Linked DNA regions of Tribolium castaneum. The protein of the gene in region 1 binds, or shares a complex with, the protein of each later gene. Links are inferred from orthologs where the notes say so. Each region holds a gene or a part of one and is shown on either strand. Other genes may lie near its edges. The genes, in order: gry and trafficking protein particle complex subunit 12.

What was found.
Region 2: gry (region 1) and trafficking protein particle complex subunit 12 share a complex: the UniProt entries of both Homo sapiens proteins name them as parts of the multisubunit TRAPP (transport protein particle) complex. The link is inferred for Tribolium castaneum from reciprocal best matches to the Homo sapiens genes TRAPPC11 and TRAPPC12.

The regions. Positions count from the first base shown.
Region 1 is NC_087395.1:23,291,267-23,295,090, reverse strand, and holds part of gry (trafficking protein particle complex subunit 11), read right to left. Parts: intron 3,318-3,824; coding exon 3,147-3,317; intron 3,098-3,146; coding exon 2,964-3,097; intron 2,914-2,963; coding exon 2,706-2,913; intron 2,664-2,705; coding exon 2,461-2,663; intron 2,412-2,460; coding exon 2,222-2,411; intron 1-2,221. UniProt on the Homo sapiens protein: Involved in endoplasmic reticulum to Golgi apparatus trafficking at a very early stage.
Region 2 is NC_087396.1:17,554,175-17,558,653, forward strand, and holds the start of trafficking protein particle complex subunit 12, read right to left. Parts: upstream 2,876-4,479; 5' UTR 2,738-2,875; coding exon 2,438-2,737; intron 2,392-2,437; coding exon 2,215-2,391; intron 2,166-2,214; coding exon 1,827-2,165; intron 1,781-1,826; coding exon 1,446-1,780; intron 1,401-1,445; coding exon 1,169-1,400; intron 1-1,168. Other genes in the region: Dlc90F (dynein light chain Tctex-type), read right to left, coding at 4,137-4,479. UniProt on the Homo sapiens protein: Component of the TRAPP complex, which is involved in endoplasmic reticulum to Golgi apparatus trafficking at a very early stage.

The DNA.
Region 1 (3,824 bases):
TAAGAATAGTTTCTAAAACTATTTAGAATGATAGGAAAAATGAAAAAAGGCCCACTCTTCAGGAGGTTGTCAAGTCTAGTCTTTAAAAACTTTATAAAACTAATTTGTTTTTTTTAAATAGTTTTAAAATGGTTTTAAGACATGCTCAAAGTGTCTTATAAAACCTGGTGTTAGAGCATTGGGATTGAAAAGGGTTTTATTGCAGGAATAAAGATAAAAGTTTAGATAACTCGTTTTTAAAATTTATGTTTCAATACTGTTATAAGAAATTATTTCTCGGAGCACAAGACTGTATTTATTTTTACGTATTTATTATATTTGTCTTTTATCCCTTTTAAAAACTATTAAAACACGATATCGAGGTAGAAAATTTAGAAACGACGGCCAGCTTTTGATGGAATTTATTAAGGAACTTGTAAAATTTTAACGCCCTTCATAAATACCGAAAATATACACATTTGTAAAAACATTATTTTATAGATATAAAAAATCTGCGTTAATTCTTTAAACTGATTTTTAAAGTGATAACAACTAAGTTTTACTGCTGAGAAAAGAAAAAAAAACAAAAATTATCACAATTTCTTCAAGGTTTAGAAAGTGCGTATTTTTTAATTTTAACTCTAACAGCAGTAAAATATGACTACTAAACGTATAAAACTATATCTTCTATATAAAATTACTTATAAAAAAATTACTCTCAATAAAAGCCAATAAAAACCACTATAAGACAACTTAGACTACAGATAAAGTGCTTTAATTTAATAAAGACTATAAATATTTAGATAAAACATAAAGTGCCATACAGAACCTTTTTAAAACCATTTAGTTTCAAGATGGTTTTATAAGGTAGTATTTAGTTAAATATTTCCCGACAGAAATTATAACTGTGTTCAACGTAGAGTTGGTTTAATTTTCAATTAAATGCTGAGATAATTAATCCATATTTACTTAATTTTGCAGCCCCTGCCTTATAAAATTTTTTTCTTCAAAAAAAATTGGTTCATTCCGAAAATAAGGAAAAATTCACAAACTCTAAGAAAAGACAATTTTTATTGACAGAGGGACTTTTTTTGTTGTACTCATGTACAACTATTAAAAAATTCTAACATCAAACAAATTCTATAAATGTTCGTGCGTTGGAGCCAGCTAAAGACAAGTCAGTAAATATGTATCTGTTTTTAACTTCATTCTTTCGTCGGTTGATTTTCTCTAGAATTTAGTAAATATTTTTTACTTATTTTCATTAGTCTATTTTTGAATAAAATAGAAATTCCAGTTCTACGAATAGTAAAAGTTCCGTAAAAATGCAAGATAGTTCTGAAAACTAAATTAAAAAAAAAAGTTCTTTGTAATGTCACCAAACATGCATCAGATTGTTTAATGTTTCTTTTACCAAGATATCTATTAAAAAATCACCTTATATTTATTTAAAAAAAAATTATTTCAAAAAAAAAAACGTAGCCATTTTTACAACTTTTTTCTATAATAAAGACATTTTTCTGTGCTGTGTACTAATTAGGTTTTTTCTACAATTACTCATCGTGAATTTTCTACTATAACATGAACTGAAACTAAAAATACACTGCTTCTTAAAACTCATTAACTAAACAATAAATAATTAAAGGTAAAAAAATACGACGAAAACTAAAAATGTGATCAATTTATTTAAAAAAAATGCAACCCATCTTCTACTAGATATTTTTTAAATCAAAATCAAAATATTTTTACCGTCTCAGGCTATAGCCTATTTAGCCGTTAGAGCAACCGTTATTTGCCAGAGAATGCCTTTTAACTAATACACGAAACAACGCAGCTCTCAATACTACAGTGAGTGTGTATGAAGCAAATATGTATTTTCTTACAACAAATTATTTATTTATTTATTTTATTTCATTTATTGACCAAATAAGATTGTCTGAGAATAAAAAGTTTTAAAGACGACTACCACCTGGCAATTATAAGAGTATTATAAAACTTTTGTTAAAACTATCTTAGGAATTATGACCTGACCTGACCTGACCAGTTAAGATTGTCTGGAAGTAAAAAGTTTTAAAGACGACTCCAAGGCAATTACAATTAAATAACTGTGATAAATCTCAAGCTGTATAATGTTAAATTGGTTTTATCATTTAGTTTGTGATCTGTAGGAGCTGTTTTACAGCAACTACCTTCACAAACAGCATTTAAATTGTTACTTGGGCTGGCAAAGTCACCAACTCACTTGGATCTCGCTGTTGACGTCGTTCGAGTCGGGTACAAAATCAATAACGAATCGTTTCGTCTCATCCGAGCCGAACTCCAAAGAATTCGAACTCAAATTCTGATTATCAACGGCATATTCGCAATTATACGACGGAGTATTGATCGTGACTGAGACTTTTGTGAAAGTTAGAGGCAGGGGGCTCGAGCATCTTAAACGAATTTATCAAAATTGTAATTTTTACGTTACAATTCAAGTACTTGATATAGACTTCAACCGTAACGTTTTGATCGACTTCGTATTTCGCTTGCATGAAAGTTGCCTTAGTTTCAATGCAAGTCGAGACATTTCCCAAATCGAGCGAGAGGTGAATCGGCTCGGTTTGCAGCTTTGGCTGCCACTGAATTACGGCGTGTTGTAACACATCGGGGGTTAGTTTCTGGTCCCCGAAAGGAATCTGTCTCTAAATTTTTCGTGGAATCGATACTTTTCGTTGCCTCCTTACCTTCAAAATCCTTTGGAGATTCTCATGGATGCGCTTTTTCTGCTCAACGCTCAGCTTACTGTATTTCCCCAAAATTTCAAGACTCAGTAGGACGTAGTCCTGGACGCTTGCCGTCAAATAAGCGCATCTGATTGCCTTCTCTAAAATATCCGTCAAGAGCAGCCACCAGTTTTCCGCCCGAAAATCCCACAGCATGTGGGTAAGGAGACTAATAATAACTGTGTAAATAGAAATCCGTCACTTATGGCAAATATTTACGTCAATGCTTTGCCGAAATCGTGAGAGTTGTAATATTCCTCGGCCATTTGCAGCACCAAGTGGCGCCTCGTCCGAGGGCATCTGTACGTCTTGTATTGCGAAATGGCCAAGCCATAGAGCGAAACGATTGCGTTCTGTTGAAACAAAAATTGTAAATAATGATCGGGGGATTTTGCCACGTACAGAGTGCGCAAATTGCTTTTCCAAATACTGAATTGCCTGGATTCCGTTCGATTCCAGTTGCGGGTCGGGAGGCTCGGCCGATAATTTTCCGGGCCTCCAGGGCCTCTGCCCGTAAAATTCCATACTGTTTGCCCCTTCTAAGGGGTGCGGTTGGGGCAGCGCTATGATGTTCTACAATTGGAGATTCGTTTATTTTAAGCGAAAATATATGGCTTTTGTAGTCGCTTCCTGCGATTTTATGTACTGATAATATTTACATAAACGATAAACTGTGTCAGTAAATGGAAGTCGTAAGTTTGGTTTTGTATGGTTGCCTCCGGAAGCAAAAATTCAACACGCCCACAAAAACTTCAAATAATAATCAATTACAGTGCGATATATTTTAGTTCAAACAGAGAGTTTCGTTTATTTTTGTAGCAATTCGTTATAAGGCTGATGAGTTATGGAGTTGAAAAAGTGTAAACTGGCGGTTCCTTAAACAATAGAATTTGCATTTTGAGCCGGATTTAAAAAAATCACTACAATATTTTTTATAATTAAAACAAACTTTACATCTTTACGCATTTTTTTTCAATAATTCAAATTCGACGAAAGATTGGTTTTGTACTTTTTTCGAGTGTTTGAGTGCAAAAAACCTTATTTGTTATAATTCTGTCAACTTAGATCCTTCATTTTTTA
Region 2 (4,479 bases), on another chromosome or scaffold:
GAAATCTTAGTACTTTTAATAAAATTATTATTATTTTTGCTGTTCCCAAATGCTTGAGCACACTTATAAACCAAAAGTGTAAAAATTAAATTTTGCACAACAGAAGAAATAATAAATAATAATAAATAATAATGTAATTTTTCGAGGGTTTTAGTACTTTTTTCAGCCAAAAAAAAACTCACTTATTTCGCATAAATTCCCTAAAAGAAGTTAATAACACGCCCAAAAAAAAATTACAATATCATGTCGAAAGGGCCTTCCATGGTCGAAAGTTACGCTATTTTCAGCTAAAAACTCGTTCTACAATATTTCCTCTAATACGGCGAAAAGTTTCAAATGACAAAAAAGCTTGAATCGACTTTCTATAACTATTTACTTTATGGAAAAAAATAGAATTTAGAATATGATCATCACCTACCAAATCTGTTAAAATTGTGGATAATTTTTAAAGAATAAAATTTTCCTTTTAGTTTTCTAGTTATGCGAAACCGTATTTATTTGTTTTTAAAGGTAGGACGATTTTTTTGGTTAAAGATTAAAAATTACTTTTAATCCAATAATGTTTTCAAACCAGTGTTTTGCGAAGGTTTTACTCTGAACTTAACCATTAAAAAAATAAATAAATAAAATTTTGCATCACTCGAAAACAAAAGAAATTTCGAAAAATTTTATTCAACAATAATTATCACATTATTAATATACGTTCAATGATTTTTTGTTAAGTAACATAGTTTATTAGAATCTTAGGTAAAGTAGGACAATGTCGAGTTAATTTCGAGTTAAAAAGAAACTTCAGATTAAAGCCAAAAAAAAAACAACTTCGAAATAACCTCTGTTAAGTTAACTTAGAATTTTTGTAACTCAGACCTAAGGTAGTAATTCAAAGAACCGTCATTATTTAACTAATATTAAGTCGAGCATTAAGTTTAGGTAAATTCAGAGTTATTTGACTCTAAAGATAACTCACTATTGAAAATATAACAGGTCTATTGCTAACTTTTTCGAATGCCACTCGAAATTCGGCCGCTTCTTTTTTCTTAGTAATACTTTTTTATTAGGTGTACATTTTTGAAAATAATTGGAACGAATTGGAATAACATGGAATTGTTTTTGTGAATCTACATACACCATTGGCGCTAATACGTAGGGACCAAAAAAAAAACTTTACCATAACATTTGTGGGGTCCAGGAGACTGGCTTGCTGGAAGCAGACATAGGCCTCATCAAACGAATTCTGCGCCACAGCGAGCAACCCCCGATCCACATACTCCCTCAAATCCGTCGTGTTACCCCTCAAAGCCCTTGCTTCATCAAAACAAGTCTCCGCCCCTGCCACGTCGCCCACTTGCAGTCTCAACCTTCCTAACGCCGAATACAACATATGACGTGCCGTCCCATCCCTTAAACCCACCATTAGAAACTTTCTTCCCTCGCCTATTTTTCACCTGTGACACAACTCTTCCATCATCACCATTGCCAATTCATAATCTTTCAAGGCCAGGGCACAATTAACAATAGAGTGCATGACTCGAGTCTCGCGCCCCGTCCAAAGTCGAATCGAATCGGTGCGATCCGACTCACTAATTTCGATAGGGCTGCCGTCCTCGCTCAAGCCCTGTTTCAAGTTATCCAACATTTGTTTTATCGTGGACTTCATACTGTACAGCTTTGTTAACGAGTCTTTGGGTTTACCGCAATGCATTGGCAGTTCGCTTAAGAGTAAACGAAATGAAAATGAAGCGATGGAGCCTGGACGGCCCCCATACATCTCGGGGTAAAACTGTAAAATTGCGGTAAGTGGTCGAAGGTGATTTGTGGCTAGAGACCTGGTAGAAAACGTCCGGCTTGTCGAGCTGACCAAAAGGGGCAGCTTCCGATTGAGCAACTGCAAAGGCTTTGATTTTGACTAGAAGGGCGATACGAGTGAACCACAGCTGTAACGAATGGGGCGAATGTTTGCTAGGATGGCCCGCGCGGCCCCGACCCTGGCCGTAAATGGTTAAAAGTCTCGCAGTTAAATTAATTGCGGCTCGGTATGAACCCGCTTGTACTAACTCTCTCAGTCCCCTTTCGTCCTGCGTTACGTCGCTTTCGGACAAGATACTTCGTTGCGCGGCTTCGGCCTCCCCAAGACACAAGGTGACTGCTTCCCCGATATTGTCCCCCTTTTTAAATAAGTTTAATTTTCCCCCTTTGACTATTTAGCAAACATACCAAATCCTCTTCTAGCAGGACCCCAGGCATGGTGAGGAGCTCCCTGTCTGGAAAATACGTACCGGGGGCTGCCGTGGCGCACGCAATGAGACATTGTCTGGTCCTCTCGCTAGGTATCCAGGCATCTCTCCTGCGGTCTGCTTCCGAGCCTAGTGCCACTCTGGGGCAAAAACCGTCCTAGAAAAATTTACCAAACTGTGGAACACACAATTAGGTCACTCACGTCGTTGTTTGGCGTTATGTCGAGGTTTGATATCAAGCCGTTGGAGGTAACGCTGTGGTTGTTTCCAATTAAATCGAAGAATGACGTCGTCTGATCTTTGGCTTGTGGTGGCGTTTCGGCGAATATTCGACACACTTCTGGTTCGTTTTTCTTAGCACTTGGGAGATTGTCATCTAGTTTAAGATCGGTTATTTTTGTGGAAGCTTCATTTAGTTCTTCGGATAGGTCTATTGTCTTTACTTTATCGTCGGTTTTTTCGCCGAAGTATTGACTCAAGGACGGGGGCACGCTTTCCGACATGTCTAGCAATTATTCACTAAATACCTCGATCTTTACACGAACTTATAATAAATAAATACGACGAAAGTCTGTTTACGTTCGTTTATTGACATTTGCGAGTGACTTTTTTATTAGTGACATTGACATCCACTGTAGCCAATCGTAGAAAAACTTGAAATGGGTTTATGGCGCGAATTTCTATTTCTATTATTAACACCAACGTCGCATTTTCCCTCGAAATTAACTGTTCTAAATTATTCATGCCCTTCAAAAAATTAATAGCTAATGTAATTTATACAATCTGTCTATAAATGAATGTAGGATCGTAGTAGGTTTCAGAAGTTTGCCGTTTTGTTCAAGAAAAAACGAACAATGTTAGTTTTACTGGTACTTTTCAGAAATTTGATAGTAATAAAATAATTAAATGCGGCAAATTTAAATTACAGAACCACCTGAGAGCCAACACTCTTTTATAAACAGTCCGTAGTTTCAATGAGGGATCTAATCTTTAATAACTATTTTACATTTTTATACAGCTTAATTAAAAAGCAACGTCACATTTTACCGAATTATCTTTTTACATAAGACTGATAAAACTGTAAAATAGTTATGAATGCTAAGATCTCTCATTGAAAGAAGAAATTGTATTAGCTATTTATTAGCTTTGTTCGCGGAGGATTTTTAGAACTAATTCTGAAGTAGTCCAGGATTTATTTACAGCGCATGTGCGGTTCTGAACCAGTTATGGATTTTAGTCAACCGCAAACGATAATTTATCGTTGTCAAGTACACAACAAATGTTTAAAAACTAACAAGCTACAAAAATTTGAACAAAGTTAGAAATGAGTTATTCGAAAAACCTAAAACGAAAAGGTATAAATTGTAGAAAACAACCCATTTTCAAATTTACAAACATTATTTTATATACAAATAATTACGATTTAGTAAAGTATTAACTAAATTCCGGTAATCAAAACAGACAGTTTATTTATATTGATTCCAATCTCAAAAATATTCAAAGACATGAGAGTAACAGAGACAAAACCGCTTTCAACTGCGCACGTCTAGAACTAAAAATCCTTCGTCGAGTCCCAGGATCGTTGGGACTAATTCTGAACCGATCCGGGATTCAGCGTACTAGAGCTGGAACTAGTTCAGGATCGCTACCGCGAACAAAGCTGTTATTTTTTTGAAATGCATGAATAATATAACAGCTAATTTTGAGAGAGAATGCGACGTTGGCGTTTTTATATTTTTGAAACAGCTAACAACTGTAGTTTCAAATGTAAATAATATGACAAAATCCAAATAAAAAAATGACTTTATTAATACGTAACAATCACTATCAAGTAGAAACTTATAAATACGATAAATTATTCTTGAAAGGCAAATCCATGACTGTAATTACTTGTTGAAATATTTAAATAGCTAATCCATATACTGATACAATGCAGAACATGGTCTTGTTCTCCCAACGCACGGTGCAGCTCCCATCCGTGTTATTATCCCAATAGCACGAACTAGCGGTGTGCAAACCGGCCCCGTTCTTCTGCATTATGGTACAGGTCACGATGTACTTGTATGGTTTCATCAATTTCGTCAATTCTGATGTGCAACATTCCACGACCGAAGTCGTCCAGTCATTGACTTTATTTTGGGAATATGCGTTGCCTCCTATCACAGTTTCTATCGCGTCTTTAATGATCTTACTCACATCGTCGACCACGAACTGGCCCTCCTCTTGCAGATCTTGGTCCAACACT